5 linked regions of the Ovis aries genome follow. The protein of the gene in region 1 purifies or fractionates together with the protein of each later gene. This does not show direct contact. Links are inferred from orthologs where the notes say so. Each region holds a gene or a part of one and is shown in the gene's direction. Other genes may lie near its edges.

Region 1 (3,514 bases):
GATAATGGTGCGGCACCAAGTTTTCAACCTGAGAACTGTTCTTTTCTTTAAAAAGGAGGGCTCGCAAGTTTTGGAGAGGTTTTAAAGACTACCCCCAAACTGATATTTTCAGTTTTCAAACTGACATTTGGGGCTGAAAGAATTGAAAAGTCAGTACCTTTGTTCTATGTCCTTAATGCCACCCTATGACGTGAACGAATCCTCCCTGTTTAGTAACAGAATATTTATTGTCTTTTTAGGCTATTGGAACAGTTTAACACAAAACATGGATATCAGACCAAATCATACAATTTATATCAACAATATGAATGACAAAATTAAAAAGGAAGGTAAGTGTTTTTTAAAAAAAAAACTAGTGTGTTTATTTACTACCATCTTAAAAATTATACAGCTTCAAAAGTTCTCATCTAGTCATCTTTCTCACTGCGTGAAATAATGGTTTATCCCTTGTTGTGTAAAGACTTTAAGGCTTTTTAAAGATTAAAAATAAGTAGGGGCTGAAGATGTGTTGAATCTGTTTTCACTCAGATGAAACCATTTCAGAAACTCTTAAAATTAAACAGCCATTGGGAATAGTATGTTATTAAAATATGTAACTTTGTATAAATAAATGAGCGGAGTGCATTCAGTGCAATGTCATGTTAAGAAGAATTTCAGTCATAGTTTCATCCACAGATGCCTTGTTTCCCCTCTAATTTTGTGCAGAATTGAAGAGATCCCTGTATGCCCTGTTTTCTCAGTTTGGCCACGTGGTAGATATCGTTGCTTTGAAGACCATGAAGATGAGGGGACAAGCCTTTGTTATATTTAAGGAACTGGGCTCATCTACAAATGCCTTGAGACAGTTACAAGGATTTCCATTTTATGGCAAACCAATGGTAAATCAATCTTATTTTGGCTTTAATCACTATTAATGGTATGGTAGATTTGTAAATATACCCTTGACAGTGTGGCTGTTGCTTTCTGCCTTCTGTGTAGTGGGTTGGGGTTCATTTATGTATTTATTTTTATAGAAACACATTAGTAGTAGAGTTTGTAATATTCACTTTTTGAGTTATGATACTTCAGATGGGCAAAAGCAAAATACAGAAGATGTAGAATATTTTAAGAACAATGGCAGTATAGGCAATACTGTCCTCTCAAAAGAACTAAGAACTAGAAATTAATTACTCAGAAGATTAAAAAGAAACCTCTGTTTGTAAACTTGTAAAACAACCACAAAACAAAAATGGTGAGTCAAAGAGGAAATCCAGTCCGAAATTTCAAAAAATACCATAGTGAAATACTGTACTTTAGACGCTATGCAGTCAAAGCGCTGATCTAAGGACAGTTTTAAACTCAGGAGAGACCTGAGATTTCACGTTTAGCTGTTGGGTCAAAGTTGAATTGTGGGAAGGGAAGCAGGGAACTCAGGAGGCATTGGTATAAGTCAGAGATGGTAGAGGATTGGATCAGGCTGGAGAAAGAGTATATAATCCAGAGGTCTCTTGGTGTTTGAATGGGTACAGTCTCCCTTGGGTATGGATTTTAGTGCTTTTCTTCTGGAACTGGAATGTGATGGGAAGGGGTGTTGGGGAAAGAGCCGAGGCCGAGAGTTTCAAGGTCCCATGTTCTCATTCTGGTTCTGCCATTAACTGGCTTTTTGTGCTTGTTCCGTTTTACCACCTATTTAAAAAAAAAAAAGAATAAGCAGACTGAATATATTTTGGTCAAATTTACAGGCAAGCAAAAACTCTTATAAAGGACCAGATAATACAAGCTTTGTGGACCACATAGAGTTTGTACTGCACATTCTTAGGTGTGTGTGTGTGTGTTTTAAATAACCCTTTAAAAAAAAAAAATAAAATAAAAAATAAAAATTGTAAACAGAAAGAAAAAAGTTCGTAACTCATAGGCCATACAAAAACAGGCCATGGGCTGGATTTGGCTCATAATCTGTAGTGCAGAATACCACTGTGATCTCTTTTTACAAATTAAAAATCAGGCACAGAAATCTTACGTTACTGTAACCAGTGGCATCGTCAGGACTTGAAAGCTAATCTGCTGACATCCAATATTGTGATTTTTTTTTCCCCTCAATTAGGATAGGCATCTGATCTGTAAAGGGCCAGATAGTAAATATTTTAGGCTTTACGAGCCAGATGATCTCTTTTGCAGCTCCTTAAACTGCCTTTATAGTTGGAGAAGCAGCCACAGAAGGTGTGCAGATGGAAGGGTTTATCTGTGTCCTAAGAAGACCTAACGCAGAATACCAGGCAGTGTTGGCATAGTCAGCACTCCACGGACCTCGGTACTGCACTGTTTAATTCAGGACTGAGCACTTTTTGTCTGTTAAACTGCCACACATTTTCTGCCCATCCTCTATCCAATGCTCCTTTTCCCATCATTTCCCACCTGACTGTTTCCCACCATCGTATGTTTGAAAACTTGTATTCCAGAAAAACTGAGAAGGGGTAGTACCTACCTACCCAACTTACAGTAAATTGGCATTTCCTGAAACCAGTTTATCTTTCTCAGTAGCATGAAGAACTAGCATAATTGAGATCTCAGCTGGTAGTAGCATAAGACTGGGTTTTAGTTTAAATCTGAAATTACGTTAGTATGGAGAAGCCATTTATTCCCATAAAGGGTTTTAGGACTGTTTGTTAAGTTGGGATGACACGTTTGCATATGCCTGGGATTGAAGGCCAGGAAAGCTGGAAATTGTTTGCTGCATTTGGCACCGGCTTCACCTTGCCAGCTAGTTACTAAAAATCAAAGGGACAAGCCCATTACACTGATCTCATATTGGAGGTATTTTAGGAGGTCTCTTCTCTGCCTGCAGGAAAGTAGGAGGTACTGCCAGATCTCCAGCATCCTGGAAGAGGGAAAGAATGTTCCTTGAGCTATCTTGTTTATATTTACTTAGGTGGTTTCAGTTGCTCTTCTATTTAACGCCAACATACCAGATCAGAAATGAGCAAAATTGTCTATGACTTGGAACTCAGAACAAAATTATTCTCTGTGATTCAAGGACATTTGATTCTTTAATTCCAAAAATACCTCAGTAAAGTGAAACCATCTTCCTAAGGGTGTCTGTCTTGAAACCTCTGGTATAAATGTAAATCTTGCGCCTTCTCTAAGCTCTGGGTGAATTTTTATCTCTCATCAGTATTTAGTCTACTATTTTTCAACACTGGCACTACTGACATTTTGAACTGAATAACTTTTTTTTTTGTTTGTTTGGGCTTTCTGGTTCATTGGAGAGTGTTTAACAGCATGTCTGGCCTCTGCCCACTTAGCGTGATGATACAGTATCTCCAGCCAGCAGTGCCAGCTGTGTTCTGGTGGGCAGATTCTCCTCAACTCGAGAACTGCTGCTCTAGACCAGCCAGCTAAGAGCGAGGGCTGAGATGAGAGATTTTCACAGGCCACAGGGACAAGTACAAGATCACCCAAGATCTTCTCAGGTCAGAAGAAGGTTGAAGACCCAGGGGAGTTGGGAGAAAATCCCTGGACCAAGTCAGAGTTAGCC
Region 2 (4,234 bases), on another chromosome or scaffold:
TGATTCTTTTACCACCCCATCTAGTAATTGAAAAGCAATTGAAAGTGGGCTCAAAATACTCCATTCTGGTACTCTCACAAATACAAATGTCAGCTCCAGGATCACACTCTGGCTCAAAAAGTTCTGAGGGCAGGGTGACAGGAACAAAGAGAACAGCGGGGTAGTAGGGCAGATGCTAACGCCACAGCACTTGGGTAACACTCAGAGCAGGAACTTTTACCTAGCAGTTTCATCACCTATCAAATGAGAATAATCATCCTACCAAATGATCATATAAATTAAGCGATATGATGAGGAATGGTCTTGCAATCTGTGCAAAGGTGAGACTACTGTTATCATTACTAATTACTACGGCTGGGGACGGAAGGTCCCCTCGAACTCTTGGCTGTATGTTCTGCAGGATCCCCTCAAGATGGAATATAGTTTTTTTCTCCAGACTTCGGGTTTGACAACGATTGATGCACTTGGCTAGCAAGTCTCCGCTGCTGAGAGATGAGAAGTGAGGCCTTCGGGTTCTGGGCCTAGCGGGCTCAACAACCACCGCGCCCCCCCAGTCACCTTGTCCTCACCTTGAGGAACAGAAAACAAAACTCTATGGGGTAGAAAGTGAGGTCCACGAAAACGAGAAAGAGGTGCCTCCACTCTTCACCTAGCTGCCGCTTCTTAGACCCAAGCTTCCAGCTGGGCGGGGACAGAGCAGAGAGAGAGCTGACAGAGCCAGGGACGCCTTGACCTCGGGCGCCGGAGGAGCGAGCGTGGGTGCTGGCCCCGCGACAGGGACAGGTACACGAAAAGCCGGCCGGAGGTCGGGCCTGCCTCGTCTTGCCTCGCCCACAGCCGCAATCACAGGAGGAGGCACCCCGCCCCCGCGAACCCAGAGGGCCCTCAGTTCGCTCACCTGCAGCCGGGACACCAGTAGGCTGTAAGGCGCCATTTTGTGCACTGACAAAGATGAGGTCGCTTGAAAGTGACGTGCCACTCAGAGTATTTAAAGCCTTCAGGCTGGGGGCGTGGCCTGAAGAGAAACGCGGCCTCGTGAAGGCTGGGCTTCGGCCGAGGCGCCTACTTCTGCGAGCGCCTTGGGCGGAGTTCCCGAGTGAGGACTCGAAAGGGGAGAGGACAAAACTACAAAAAAACACTTAAGGAAGTAGATGCCGGGCAAGAGATGTCTTATCGAAGTGAAAATTTCACCTTTGTACTTTGCAATTTGCCTCTCCCATTCTAGTTCTGGAAAGATTGTGATTTTTTTTTTTAAATAACTTTCATACACCTGCCAGGACCTGACCCCCGTTAGGACGGAAACCTGGCTTTGAAATTTGAACTCGCGAGAACCAGCGGGGCTTGGTGCAAAGAGTATAAACGCTGACGGACGTCTAGAGAACCAATCACGGCGACCAAGAGGCAGGAGCAACGGAGGTTAAAGGTCGGACGGAAGTTCTGTAAGCTTCCGGTGGTTTGAGAGGGAGCTATGGCTAAGCATCACCCGGACTTGATCTTTTGCCGCAAGCAGGCTGGTGTTGGTGAGGCAGCCTTCTGCCCCCGGCTCTCTTGGTGGGAATGGTATTAGGACCTAAGAGGTCCGGGGTTCCCGTCACTTGCTTAGGGTCTTGCCCGGGAGGCGCCACGTTTCCCGCCTCTAGGTTGAAAGTGCAGGAGCGCGCGCGTTTGCGGTCTCTTGATGAAAAGAGGGCGGGGGCTCGCGTGCTGGGAGCCGGAGGCAGGCTGCCGGAATGGGGCTGGGAGAAATTCTTAGTTTGCGCAGGACCTGTGAGGGGCTTCAGGAGGCTCTGGATTTGGTTCGGATTGAAGTTTAAGAGGATAAGATGGATAGATCCCCTCAGGGCTCACTGCAGTCGCTGCTCCTGTCTCCACCGCAAGCTCGAAGATGTTTGTCCCCTCTTCGTCAAAACTTTAATCCTAATTGTGCTCTTTACCGTCTTTTATCTTGCAGCCATTGGAAGACTGTGTGAAAAGTGTGAGTGGAACACGCCTCCCCAATTAGCCCACCTGGCCCACTCAGTTTCTGTAGAGCAAGCAAACGAGCATTTTCAGCGGTGGCACTAGGAGGACTTGGAGTAGACGTGACCCAAAGAATGTCAACACAGTGCCAGGCTGCAACTAAAGGCCACCACCCTCACTCCAGCTTGCACGTTTTAGACACTAGGTTTTGAGAGAATCTTTAGCTTTGGACCAGAGGTAGCATGACCCCATCGACATATACAGCGTTCTGCCAACTAATTTATATAGACGTATCTACCAGGTGCTCCTCTAAGGTCTTTACCCAGTAGTTGATTAACTTTTCCTTTGTGTTGTAGCGATTGAGATGGACACGAGGTAAGTCAGGTTTTGTGATGCCAAAGTAGAGGGTCCTCAAGTCACTGTTAGGAGACTGGTGTAGTCCCCATAGCGGGAGGAGGGCAAAGGACTTGAGGTATTTGCACATGGGTGTAACTCCATTCTCTTCTTATAGGTGATGGCAAGTGTGTGATCTGTGACTCCTATGTGCGTCCTTGCACTCTGGTGCGCATATGCGACGAGTGTAACTATGGCTCTTACCAGGGACGCTGTGTGATCTGTGGAGGCCCTGGAGTTTCAGATGCCTATTATTGTAAGGAATGCACCATCCAGGAGAAAGATGTGAGTATATATAGGAAGCTTTTCATCTGATTTTCCCTTGTGTTTAGTATCACTTTGCCATCCACAGCAAACTGTATGGTCCGTGGATGAATATGTTCATTTAGTCATCTAGGTTATAATTTCTTCAGTGTCTGTGAGCCAAACTGGGTGTAGCCCAACAAAAGGCAGTTATTTTGTATCAAGGACAAAAGTGCAAGAGAAGCAAATTTTGGTCAACACTGGCAATTTCGAAAGCCCTCTATTCCTTTGATGTCTCTCTCATTTTTATTCACAAACAATATCTTTTTTTTTTTTTTTAAACTGTGCCACATAGCTTACAGGATCTTGAACCCTGGCCACAGCAGTGAAAACCCAGAATCATAACCATTAGGCCATCAGGAAACTCCCAATATTCTGCATTTTTAAGTCCTAGCATGGTGCAAGGTGTATAATAGCCATTCAGTAATTCTCTTTATTATCATTAAGGACTGTTCAGGTGGATGTATTGACTTCTGAATTTGGGACTATTCAAGTTGATTTCAGCTCTGAGTAGCTAGAGAATACTTTTGCTTTGATTTTTCAGAATTGCTTGGGATTCTGTTTGGACGTTTTTTTCCCCTTAACATTGTATGCTGGCAAATGCAATTGAGCCAGTTGCCAGGATACAATAGAGAGTTATAGATCTGTACCAAAAACAGGTTTCTTGGAGGAGAGGAGGACAACCCATGAATCACCTTCTGTTCTTATGACAGTAAAACAAAGTGTGATACAGTAACAATAGGCTAATATGAGGTATCTGGTTACCTAATCTAGGATAAGACATAAGGCAAAAAAGAAATAAGAAATTCTTTGGCCATGCTGGGCAGCTTTGGGGATCTTAGTTCCCCAACCAGGGGTGGAACCCAGGCCCCCTGCAGTGGAAATGCAGAATCCTAACCACTGAACTGCCAGCGAATTCCCAAAAGATAAATAATTCTTTATATTCCCTTTTACAAATAGTAGATAATTAAATATATATATATAGGGCTTCCCAGTTCGCTCAGATGGTAAAGAATCTGCCTGCAGTGTGAGAGACTCGGGTTCATCACAGGCTCAATCCCTGGGTCAGGAAGATCCCCCTTCTATATAGATCTTATCTCCCTTATTCTTCAATAGCTTTGTTAATTAGGGGGTATTATTATCCCCATTTTACAGCCCCTCTCCCAGCTAATAAGTGTCAAGTCCCAAGCTTTCTGACTAAACCTTGTGGTGTCCTTTCATAAGTCTGTGATGTGCCTGTGTTGAAGAGAGACGATTCAGCTACCTCAGAATCTTTGCAGTTAGATTTTGTCTACCTCTAATAAGTGGGACATATTAGAGCAGATAAACCTATTTTTCACACCAGTAAAGTCTTCTGTTATTTAGGGAAGCGAGAACGATCGTAGATAAAGTACCAGAAACATAATTTCAGTTGGTGATTTGAACGTTCTCTCTCTTTTGGGGGGCTGCTCTGGGTCTTGTGGTGTGCAGGGTTACTTGCTCCAAGGTATGGGATCTAGGTTCCCTGACCAAGGATCAAACCCATGTCCCCTGCATTTTTAAACACTGGGCTACCAGGGATGTCCCCGATTTGAACATT
Region 3 (2,880 bases), on another chromosome or scaffold:
GCATCTTTAAAATGGGTTTAGTGCCTGTCCTGCTTCTACTTCCTAAGAAGATGTAAGAGGAAAAAGAGAGATGCTCTTGTTTTGTTAGCTTCCTGGAAAAAAAGATGTGTGTGAGAACTGATAGGAAAAAGTATATCTCCATCCTTCAGATGCTTATTAGCACTTGCTGTATGCATAGCACTCACTGTAGGAGTAAAAAGAAAAAAAAACATGTATTTGCCCTTTTGGAACTTAAATCGTTAGGTTTTTTTGTTTTTTGTTTTTAATGGTTTTATTCCCAAATAAAAAGATTTTGGGGAAAATCTTTGGGACAGTGTTTTTTTCCTTTGAGTATTCCCCAATATTTCAAGAATAAGCATTCTTGAAAATGGTTAAAAGTCAGAAGTTGTTACTTTGAATGAGTATAATAAAATTCTTCATCAGGCCCATGCAGTATGACAAAGTGAGAGCGTTCTCTGGTCCTGGCACCTTCCAACCCCCTCAGTCCCCTACACCTCTCCCTTTTACAGGAAGCACAAGCTCTGACCAGGGCCCAAAACTGTAGTCTCACCCTAGATCAAATCTAGGCAGGTGCCTCCCCTTCCCGTGGGCCCACTGCCTCCCTTGACCCTGTGCAGTCACTGTGGCAGTTGATAAACCTTATTGTGCAGTTGCATTGGGTGGCTGGAACTCAGATGGAGGCAAGGAGATATCCATCTTTAGCTTACCAGAGCATAAGCTGAATAGGACCTCTGCCCGCTGTCACCACTCATAAGCACATGGCCATCTGCCACCTGCAGTTTGTTGCTCCTCACACTTCTTCCCTAGCTCCTCCCCTAACTGAAGCTGGTGTGAAGAGAGGAGGTGGCAGCCCTATAGCTTTCCTACACAAGAAGCAGCTCCATATCCATGAGCTTCCGTGTCCAGCCACCTGCCAGCATTCTTCTCTGACTCACAGGTATCCCACCAACAAGCACACTTCAAACCCAATCCCTCCAGAAACCCGGCCCTTTTCCCTGGCTACAGAGGGCTGTGTAATGCACAAAAGTGCAGATGTTAACTAAAAGTGAATGTCTGAAAGTTAGCAGTTGACTCTTGTTTTAAAAGGGCAAAGAATCTTCTAAGGAAAATGGAAGAAACTATATTAGCTCTCTCTTTACATTGGAGGACACCTGTCCTGGTCATAGAGGATGGTGGTTGACTGCTTTTAATTTTACCATCTTGGTAGGGGCTTCCTTCCAACCCCACTCCTGCCACAGACACAAAATTTATTTTTATGGATTTTATAAGCTTTAGTAAAATACTGCTCAGAAACATTTGATCCCTACATTGATGGAGACTGTCTTGTGTTTAAGAATTGGAACTAAAATTAGAGTGAGGGAGAAAATCAAAGTCTTTAGAAACAAGGGACTAGTGTGGTAAATAACCAAAACGTATTGTTTCTGTTACATAAATGCACATTGAGAAAAGCTGTACCCTAGACATCCTTGTTAGTAACAGCTATCACTCCTAAGGTACTATACTTACCAGTGTAGGACTAAACATTGATTTTTAGCATGAGAAGTAGGAAAGTGAACATGAGGACTGCTCTCTCTTAGGGTAGTGAACATGAAGACTGAACGTTTCAAGCTGGTTCTTTGCTGCTATTGTTTTAGTAACCATATTAGTATTCTTAATATAGTAAGTTTCGTCTGAGATATGGTACTTAAAACAAAAATTACCTATTTCAAGAAATTAAAGGCTTATTCAGTATACCTGTCCATAATATCTGTTTCCCCTAAAGGTTTTCAGGTAAATGTGTATTTTAATTAAGTCCAATTCAACTTTGTAGGGGGAACACACCTGAAACTAGAGGAACAGCTTATGTGGTCTATGAAGACATCTTTGATGCCAAGAATGCATGTGATCACCTGTCAGGATTCAATGTTTGTAACAGATACCTTGTGGTTTTGTACTATAATGCCAACAGGGTAAGTACAGCCACAGTCCTCATCACTTGGGGAACCCGTGTAAGAGTTAGTGAAGGGTGTACCGTTAGGGGAGATGTATCTCCAGAGTTATTTTATAGCTAGTGCTGTTGGTAAAATTCATTTGACTGTAGGTTGGTAACTGTTAACTTTGGTCCATACTACACTTTCAGGCATTTCAGAAGATGGACACAAAGAAGAAGGAAGAACAGTTGAAGCTTCTTAAGGAGAAATATGGCATCAACACAGATCCACCAAAGTAAACGTTTTCTGCATTTTCACTTTGGACTAAAACCCGTGAATAACCACCACTATTTTTTTTTTCTTTAAATGCTGAATATTGTGATTTCTTATTTGAGATTGAAAAAGACCCACTTGAAACTGATATATGTTAGAATATATTATGTTAATAAACTTGTAGCTTTGGGTAAAACATGTCAGTGTTTTCTCTTAAAATTTTTCCTGTGTTATACCAGGAAAAAAAGATAATAATAAAACAGCAGTTGAACCATATCAAGAATTATTCAGTAGTAGGTGGTCCTAGAGACTGAGCTTCTTGAGAATGGGGACCTTTTGATATTCTCAATACTACCAGTGACCAATCCAGTGCTTAGCCATCAGGGGAACTTATTAAGAGTATTATTACTTATTGAATGTCTATTAATAATAAAATCTACATAATAACTCAGTGAAGGTAGGTATCCATTTTGCAGATAAGGAAACCAAAGCTTATGTTGAGTGAATGAATAAAATATTTTTGGACATCAACTGGTTATTAAGCACATGAGTACATTTGAATGATATTTGGTTTACAGTTAGTGAAATGCCTTTGTCAGTATTGGTACCCTTGTCCTCAGATATTTATTCTAGAAGTGGTCATTCAGATGATAACGCATTGTTAGAAATGTGAGAGCCAGCTGCCAGGGTGGTAGTA
Region 4 (4,024 bases), about 490 kb from region 1:
CAGTTCTCATCTGGCAGAGGCTGCTTCCTGTAAAAACAACCTAGGGACGTGTGTCAGACCTTTATCGTTCAGGGCCCTGGGAAGTGAGTGATTCTGCTCTGTGGTGGGTTTATAGTATAAATTGTTACCAGTTTCCTGGCTCAATAGCTATTTTATATCTTCACATTTCCCAGTCATTAACTCTTGAGTCAGCCGTTTGAGACTTGGGGAGGCCCGGGAGATTAAGCAAAATCATTTTACTTCAAAGGACAGGGACCTAGGGTTTGTATATGATTTCAAATATAGACGAGAAAATCGCATTGACACAGAATCCTATTTTCTCTTTCGTCCCAAATTTTGTCCTATCGTTTTGAAATCATGAGGCTTTATAACATGTACCGTGTATGTATACATGTATGTATACGTATATAACATGTATCCTGTAACTCTAACTTCATACCCATGATTTTCTTATCCCTTCCCTTGTGACTCAGCTGGTAAAGAATCCGCCTGCAATGTGAGGGACCTGGGTTTGATCCCTGGGTTGGAAAGATACCCTGGAGAAGGGAAAGGCTACCCACTCCAGTATTCTTGGGCTTCCCTTGTGGCTCAGCTGGTAAAGAATCTGCCTACAATGCAGGAGACCCAGGTTTGGTCCCTGGGTTGGGAAGATCCCCTGGAGAAGGGAAAGGCTACCCACTCCAGTATTCTGGCCTGGAGAATTCCATGGGCTATACAGTCCATGAGGTCTCAAAGGGTCAGACACGACTGAGCAACTTTCACCTCACACAGTTAATTCAGCACCCCTGGTCTTGTCTTTTACAGCCCTTTGGCCATTCATCTCTCCTACTATGATTTATCTTTAGCTTTGTGCACACTGATGATGAACAGTTTTTTTTAATATAAATTTATTTATTTTAATTGGAGGCTAATTACTTTACAATATTGTATTGGTTTTGCCATATATTGACATGAATCCGCCACGGGTGTACATGTGTTCCTCATGAAGCCCAAATTTGTAGCCCTCCTCTCCGCCTGAGGTCAATGCCAGGCTCCCGGGTCTGTAGCGTCACAACCTTTTGCCATTGCGACCCCTCTTGGCTGCAGAGGAAATCTCTCGGCTCTGCGGGCGTGGTCCTCCGGACGGCAGGGGGCGCACGGCAGCAGGGGCGCCCTCAACGCAGGCGCCGGGTGCCTCTCTTCCGGCCGTACGCGCCGTGACCCCGCGCCGCCGCGCGTCCCGCGAAGTCTGCGTAGGGGTTGGCGCCGGAGCGGTGCTGCGGTCGGGGGCTGACGCCGAGCCCCCAGCCCGCGGTGTCGGCGGCGCGTCGGCCTCGGTGCGCCGCCGCGGCCCGGGATCGTCGGCCGGGCGGGCCGGGTAAGTGGTCTCTGGGGCCGGTGGGCGGGCGTGGGCCGGGGCCGGCGCGCCTCCTCGGGCGGGCGTCGCGACAGGCGAGGCCGCGGCTTTAGGCCGCACCGCGAGGGGCGCGGGGCGGGGGTCCTGACCGGCCCCGCGCCGCTGGCTGCCCTGGCCGCTGGCAAGCCTCCCGTCTTCTCTCTCTCCCTGCTCCCCACGTCCTTTATGTGCCTCGGCTTGCAGGGCCCTCGCACCCCTGCTCTCCCCTTTTTCTTCCTCGTCTGTTTGCTCTGGCCTTGTGTCTCCTGGACCCGAGGGCACCTTTCCCTCTCCTGTCCCCTCCCTCTCGCTGTCGGTCTGTCCGGGAACAGCTGTTGGTCCCTTGAACCCAGTAGCCGGGGCCGCCGAGGAAGGAATCCGTTTCCGCCCCTGGCTTCGAATCAGGTGTGGCCATCCCTCAGAGACGAGGGTTTTACCTGGACGAGGCTCTGGCACTGCCTCGGACCCTGTCTTTTCTTAAAGCGGTGTTTTAGCTTCGATATCCAGTCACAAAGCGTTTTTTGTTTTTTGTTTTGCTTGAGCGTTTCCTTTTGCCCAGGTCATGTTTAGGAACAGCAAATAGTTAGATCAGTAAGATTCTGTCTCTACGCTCCCGTGAGTTTAGTTTCCAGAGAAACAAGTGTAAAAAGCCACGCCTCGGTCGGTCTGGAAAGGCTTCCTAAGGAGTGAGGCGTGTAACTGAGCCTTGGGGGTGTTTTGTTAAATGTGCAGGATGGGGGAAAGCTTCCTTGCAGAGGAAATAAGGGTAAAGGTAGCGGAAGGGAAGCACCGTAGTGCATTCTGGAAACTGCAGGAAAGGTAGATAGTGTGAACGTGGGTAGTCAGGTCAGATCAAGACGGTTCTCTGAGAAATCAATGGAGGAGGGTCCTGGGAGGTGCTTATTCCTAAGGGCAGGCAGAATAGTGTATGGTGAAGTCGCTCAGTCGTGTCCGACTCTTTGCGACCCCGTGGACTGTAGCCTGCCAGGCTTCTCCGTCCATGGGATTCTCCAGGCAAGAATACTGGAGTGGGTTACCATTTCCTTCTCCAGGGGATCTTTCCAACCCAGGGGTCGAACCCGGGTCTCCCGCATTGGGGGCAGACGCTTTAACCTCTGAGCCACCGGGGAGGCAGGCAAGTGGGTGGGAAATAGGATATTCTAGGGGAGGGCAAAATTCTGGACATTCTCAGGTAGGTGCGGACTGTGTCTCCCCTCAACAGGTGGAGTTTTTAAAGGATGCAGTTCAGTTTCCACAGTTCTGTGAGTTAAGGGCCACAGGCATTTTGACTATAGTGAGGATATTTAGGCGATATGGGATATTACATTAGTAACTTAAACTGTAGGTGATTTATTTTTAGAAGAAATAAAGCAAATGGTATATACTAAGAAATGTGCTGTGTGCTGACTGACCACTCACTGATATATTTAGAAAATATTTAAAAAGTGCTTAACAATGTCCCACGCAAGGTGCTCAGTTGGAGATATAAAGATGAAGACAGAAACATCCCTTAACGCCTTGAGGGGTTTATGATATAGTAAGAGACAGACATGTCACCCAGTGGAGCCTAACAAGACGTGTGTTCAGGGGGTAGCTGGTTTTATGTGAGGTTTGTTGTCAGCAAAGGCTTCAGAGATATACTTAAAAGATGAGCACATGGGGTGCTGCTGAGAAGACGTCTTCCTTGTTCTTTTTTGCTAGTTGCACGTGTTTTAAAAAAAATACTTCTCTAGCTTGGGTAGAATCTTGAAAAGTCATCATTCTTCCAGAAGAGCTGTGTTTACCGTGTTTCTTTTTAAGTAAAAGAAAAAGCATACCTGGAAGATGTGTTGATCAAAGGCTGATGTTACTATGAAAACGAAGTCAGTAGTGAGGCGGTATTTTAAAGAGGTTATGAAAATCAACTGTTTGTATTTCCATTTGGTCCTGGCTTCCTAAGATATATTCAGATGTTAGAAAGTGCTCCGTTTTTATTACCTGCCACCAGACTTCATGAAATAAATGTGTTGTATCATCTGAAAGACATCTGAGCATTAAGCAGGTGAAGTTCAGGTCCTAACAGAGTCTTGTTAGTGCGCTTGTTATTTTCAGCGTTTGCCGCAGAGAGGATGCATGAATCAACTGTGACATAGTTACAAGTACTCAAGGCAGCCACAGTGAAGATACATGCGCCTTTTAAGGAATGCATGCAGCAAGCTGTGTCGGTAAGGTGATGTAAAAGGAGGAAAGGAAGGAGTTAGCATGGGGTTCAGGCTGCTGCTGGGCCAAGGAGATCACTTGGGTGGATGGGATGGGATGGGGACCATATGGGTGGAGGGTGGTCTCTTGTCTCACTGGTGCTTGTTGCATTATAGTAGTTACTTAAAGCAAGTCTTACAAGTGCAGGTGGGTAGAGCGTGTTGTTGCTGTGGTCCATCCAGTTCTATGAATTTGAAGGTCTGTGGAGAGAAAAGTGAAGAAAGCTCTTCTGCCTTTACTGTGATGAGATCTGATGTGTAAGCTCCGAGGTACAGAAAGCTAGCAGATGCTAGTAAGGGGGCATCACTTTGTGATATTTAAGGTATGCTTTTGAAGGTTCTGAGGACAGAAACGGGGAACTTTAAATGAACATAAGATTTTGCTGCACAGTGACTTTCGAAGCTTGCAGAG
Region 5 (4,105 bases), on another chromosome or scaffold:
CCTGCGCAGCCCACGGCAATCCTGATGAGGGAAATCAAGGCCCAGCGAGAGGAAGGGACTCTTCCAAATAGCTGCCTTTAGGATTAGAACCCAGAACTCCAAGTCTTACTACTCCAGACTCTCTTACGGGGTAACCGCTATTACAAAACAAGCCCGAAGCCTCATTGCATTGGAAAGGGGTATGCGCTCTAAGAACGGAGACGGCGGCACCTGCAGCTAGGGCCATAAGGTAAAGACAAAGCCAGGTTAACCCAACCTAGGGTCTTCCCCATGAGACCGTGGGGAAGGGGAGGCAAGGAGTAAGGGCTTCCGCAGTGCCCATGTCCCCGCCCGTCCTCACCCGCAGTTCCCGGCCCAGCGGCAGCTCTTCAGTCTGGCTATGCCAGCTGCTCCAAATGGTATAGAACACCAAGGCTACTGTCAGAGCCAGCAGCAGCTGGGGCAACAGCTGTGCCCGCGGTATCAGGCGCCGCTTGGGCGGTGAGGGTCGCTCCAAAAGGCTGCGTTCCCCGACCGGGAGTCGGGGCCGCCCGCGGCCCCCGGAACGCATGGCAGCTTGGCCCTGAAACCGGTCGGAGACGGCGGATAGAGTTAAGGCCGAGCCAAGTCCCGCCCCATGAAATAAGCCAGACCAATGAACAACAAGAGCGGCTGCACCATCCGCCCCCCCCACGAGCAGTAAAGCAAATGGGACTTTCGGCCTGAGGACGCGGCTCCTTGTCTTCAGGGAGCTTTGGGGGTTGGTTCCCCCGGGTTGCACAACCCAAAAGGGAGAGCGTAAGAAGTAGGCGCCGCCTCAGCGCAGGAGGGGAAGCCAATGAGAAGCGTTTGATCACCGAAAACACTAGCCTTACTGGGCGCAAATCCACGCCGCTCCCGGATGGACCCTCTCCCCGGTCCAGAAAAACCAATATACACGTAAATCAACAGTTTCCGAAGGAAAGGGGAGGTGCCCATCCCTGAAGCGAGGAGGGGATTGGCTTCGCCAAGGCCGCGCCCCCAAAGGCAGAGCGGGCGGGCATTTGGAAATGGCTAGTATTCCCCTCTTTCAACCTATGCGGTTCTGCAACAAAATGGTTTTAATCAGTCCCGCCTTCTTTTCCTCTCCATGGTCGTGAATATCTGCCCAGCACTGTCTTGAATGGTGGCCTGGAGCTACTTACTAAGTAAGGCTTCTACTCGGCAGCCTCCGCCGAGGGCGGAGATCGCTATAGCAACGGGCCACGCCCCACTCGCTGGTTGGGTATGCGCAGGCGCGCGCGGAAGTGGGCCGTAGGAAGAGGAAGTCCCGCCTCTGGCTCTCTGTTCGGGAGGCACACCACGGAGGAGACGGTAGTGGCTTGAAAACGCGGTCACCATCATCATCATGTGAGGCCGGGCTGGGTTTGGGTGGCGGCAGTGGGATTGAGGGTGTAAGTTTGGCCACTTACCGGTTGAAGTGGGTAGGCAGAAGTGGGCGCGGAAGCAAACATTTGGGGGTAAAGTGGCGTATCTTTCTACTGATGAGTTGCGAGGGGACGTGGGGCCTTTGAAGGATCCTGACTTCGGGAGCGGGGACAGCTTTATCAGATAACAGGCTGGGCTTTCCCAAATAAGCAATCTTATTGAAGTGAAGTTTAAGAGGAAGCGTTTTTACGAATTAAAAACCTGGGAGATGAGGAGTACGGACTTGTAGGAAAAGCGGTCTTAAGGTAAGAGGCGTAGCTGGAGACAATTGGCTTTTCGATCACATCCGCCATTGGTATGGATAACGAGTTATGGGGATGATTTTACTTATGTAGTCACTCAACAGTTATTTATTGAGTTGTTTGTGTATTAGGCTGCTTTAGACGCATAGCTTATATCACTGAATTACTCCACTCTCCCCAAGGGAAAAAAAATCCTCTTCTACATCTTACGGGATGGGAAGAGGCAGGCAGGAAACGTGCTGGTAATAAATCCGTAAATTCTAGAATGTGTTAGGGAATAGGGTTTTGAATAAAGAAATAACAGAGCAGGGTAAAACAGCGTGGAATGTCTCTTGTGAGAGACAGAACGCATGAAGGAGGCAACACTTGAGCAAAAACCTGAAGAAAGTGAGAAAGCAAACTGCAAAGGTACCTGGGGACGTACCTAGGCAGAGGGAAAAGTGAATAGAGGGGCCCAAGAAGGTTTGCCTGATAGCTTCAAGAACCACTGAAGAGGCCATTGTGCCTGGAACAGAGTGAGGGTAAAAGCTGGGCTTTACTGTTTACACTGAGAGGGTACTCAAGAGTGAGATGATTCTTGACACCACCCTTGAGACTGCTCTGTGGAGGGCGAACTGTTGGGGAGCGTGGGTGGAGGCAAGGAGACCTAGGAAAGATGATGGAGGTTTAAGCCAAGGTAAGAAATTCAGATTCTGATAGGTTTTAGTGGCAGATGGCAGGATTTGCTGACAGATTGAATGTAGGATGTGAGAGAAGAAAGAGTCAAGTTGCTCAAAGAACCAGAGGGATGGAGTCACCACTGACAGAGATGAGGAAGGCTGTGGATAGTATTAAGTTGGGGTTATGGGGGGTCTGGAGTTCAGTCTAGGTCATGCGAGGATTGGAAATATCCATTAGGCATCCAAGTGGTGATAGCAAGAGAGAGGACTGAGTACGAAGAGAGGGATATGTGTCGGGGAGACACCAAGGGAGAGGCCATGAGCACCCAGGCTATGGGCCTGCTCACCTCTGGGTTCCATACTTGTCTTTTCAGGAGTCTCCTCAACAAGCCCAAGAGTGAGATGACCCCAGAGGAGCTGCAGAAGCGGGAGGAGGAGGAGTTTAACACGGGGCCGCTCTCCGTGCTCACGCAGTCAGTCAAAAACAACACTCAAGTGCTCATCAACTGCCGTAACAACAAGAAGCTCCTGGGCCGCGTGAAGGCCTTCGACAGGTGAGCACCAGGGTCTGGGGAGGTATGCTGTCCGGGCCTCAGTTTCCTTACCTGTGAAATATGCGTCATAATAATATCCCTCAGAACAGTAATGAGGCTTCAGTAATACTATGTATGAAAAGCACTTGGCTCAGTACCTAACACATGATAAATGCTCAGTAAACACATGCAGCCTTTAGTTAGCATTTGGGAAGTGCTTTCCTCACCGTAGATTACTATATAGCAAGATACAGAGCTTTCCCAATTTTTTTCTTTTCTTTCTTTCACTCAGTCATAGTTCCCTGTATCCTCCTATTCCTTTGTGTGTGTGCATGAGGGCTAAGTCACTTTGGTTGTGTCTGAATCTGTGCAGCCCTATGGACTGTGGCCCACCAGGCTTCTCTGTCTATGGGATTCTCCAGACAAGACTACTGGAATGGGTTGCCATGCTCTCCTCCAGGGGATCCTCCCAACCCAGGGATTGAATTTGCATCTCTTATGTCTCCTGCATTAGCAGGCAAGTTCTTTACCGCTAGAGCCACCTGGGAAGCCCCCCATCCCTTTACCTTGCGTTAGTTTTTCTTCATAGCACTTACTACCACCTGACAGTATATTACAGGTGTGTTTGTTTACCTGCTTCGTGTTCTCCCTTCACTAGCCTGCAGAGCCCATGAAGACAGGGCTCTTACCTGGTTTTTTTTTCATTGCTCTAATCATTGTAAACGTTTGTTGACCGAGCTATTCCACACTGTCATCACACATGCCCATAAGAAAAATAGTGTGTTGATTCACTTAATTTTCACAACAGCCATAGGAGGCAGGCACCATGAATGTCTCCATTTTAGAGACGAGGAAACTGAGGCGCAGAAGGTGAAGTCCTTTGCCCGAGCCTCGGAGCCCTGGCTCTCCCCCTTCCCAGAGGCAGTGCCGCCCAGAGGAAGGGTCAGGACACACCCCTCACTCAGTCCTGCTGCCTCCCCGTCCCCACCAGGCACTGCAACATGGTGCTGGAGAATGTGAAGGAAATGTGGACGGAGGTCCCCAAGAGCGGCAAGGGCAAGAAGAAGTCCAAGCCAGTCAACAAGGACCGCTACATCTCCAAGATGTTCCTGCGCGGGGACTCTGTCATCGTGGTCCTGAGGAACCCGCTCATCGCTGGCAAGTAGGGCCTCCTCCCTGCTGTCAGAACTTTCCCCCTGGTTTTGCGAAGACCTGCCCTCTGTAC

What was found. The genes of interacting proteins can lie anywhere in the genome.
Region 2: the proteins of SNRPB2 (region 1) and PHF5A purify together in Homo sapiens (affinity purification with mass spectrometry; 4 studies listed by BioGRID and IntAct, with this or other methods). This does not show direct contact. The link is inferred for Ovis aries from reciprocal best matches to the Homo sapiens genes SNRPB2 and PHF5A.
Region 3: the proteins of SNRPB2 (region 1) and SF3B6 purify together in Homo sapiens (affinity purification with mass spectrometry; 4 studies listed by BioGRID and IntAct, with this or other methods). This does not show direct contact. The link is inferred for Ovis aries from reciprocal best matches to the Homo sapiens genes SNRPB2 and SF3B6.
Region 4: the proteins of SNRPB2 (region 1) and RBM17 purify together in Homo sapiens (affinity purification with mass spectrometry; 3 studies listed by BioGRID and IntAct, with this or other methods). This does not show direct contact. The link is inferred for Ovis aries from reciprocal best matches to the Homo sapiens genes SNRPB2 and RBM17.
Region 5: the proteins of SNRPB2 (region 1) and SNRPD2 purify together in Homo sapiens (affinity purification with mass spectrometry; 3 studies listed by BioGRID and IntAct, with this or other methods). This does not show direct contact. The link is inferred for Ovis aries from reciprocal best matches to the Homo sapiens genes SNRPB2 and SNRPD2.

The regions. Positions count from the first base shown.
Region 1 is NC_056066.1:10,391,363-10,394,876, forward strand, and holds part of SNRPB2 (U2 small nuclear ribonucleoprotein B''), read left to right. Parts: intron 1-239; 5' UTR 240-265; coding exon 266-329; intron 330-705; coding exon 706-878; intron 879-3,514. UniProt on the Homo sapiens protein: Involved in pre-mRNA splicing as component of the spliceosome. Associated with sn-RNP U2, where it contributes to the binding of stem loop IV of U2 snRNA.
Region 2 is NC_056056.1:218,391,226-218,395,459, reverse strand, and holds the start of PHF5A (PHD finger-like domain-containing protein 5A), read left to right. Parts: upstream 1-1,433; 5' UTR 1,434-1,468; coding exon 1,469-1,520; intron 1,521-1,951; coding exon 1,952-1,975; intron 1,976-2,470; coding exon 2,471-2,637; intron 2,638-4,234. Other genes in the region: ACO2 (aconitate hydratase, mitochondrial), read right to left, coding at 899-934.
Region 3 is NC_056056.1:31,741,308-31,744,187, reverse strand, and holds the end of SF3B6 (splicing factor 3B subunit 6), read left to right. Parts: intron 1-1,810; coding exon 1,811-2,051; 3' UTR 2,052-2,119; coding exon of another isoform or gene 2,120-2,209; 3' UTR 2,210-2,379; downstream 2,380-2,880.
Region 4 is NC_056066.1:10,877,098-10,881,121, forward strand, and holds the start of RBM17 (splicing factor 45), read left to right. Parts: upstream 1-1,223; 5' UTR 1,224-1,357; intron 1,358-3,471; exon of another isoform or gene 3,472-3,579; intron 3,580-4,024. UniProt on the Homo sapiens protein: Splice factor that binds to the single-stranded 3'AG at the exon/intron border and promotes its utilization in the second catalytic step. Involved in the regulation of alternative splicing and the utilization of cryptic splice sites.
Region 5 is NC_056067.1:53,040,970-53,045,074, reverse strand, and holds the start of SNRPD2 (small nuclear ribonucleoprotein Sm D2), read left to right. Parts: upstream 1-1,304; 5' UTR 1,305-1,366; coding exon 1,367-1,368; intron 1,369-2,721; coding exon 2,722-2,901; intron 2,902-3,871; coding exon 3,872-4,046; 3' UTR 4,047-4,105. Other genes in the region: QPCTL (glutaminyl-peptide cyclotransferase-like protein), read right to left, coding at 341-550. UniProt on the Homo sapiens protein: Plays a role in pre-mRNA splicing as a core component of the spliceosomal U1, U2, U4 and U5 small nuclear ribonucleoproteins (snRNPs), the building blocks of the spliceosome.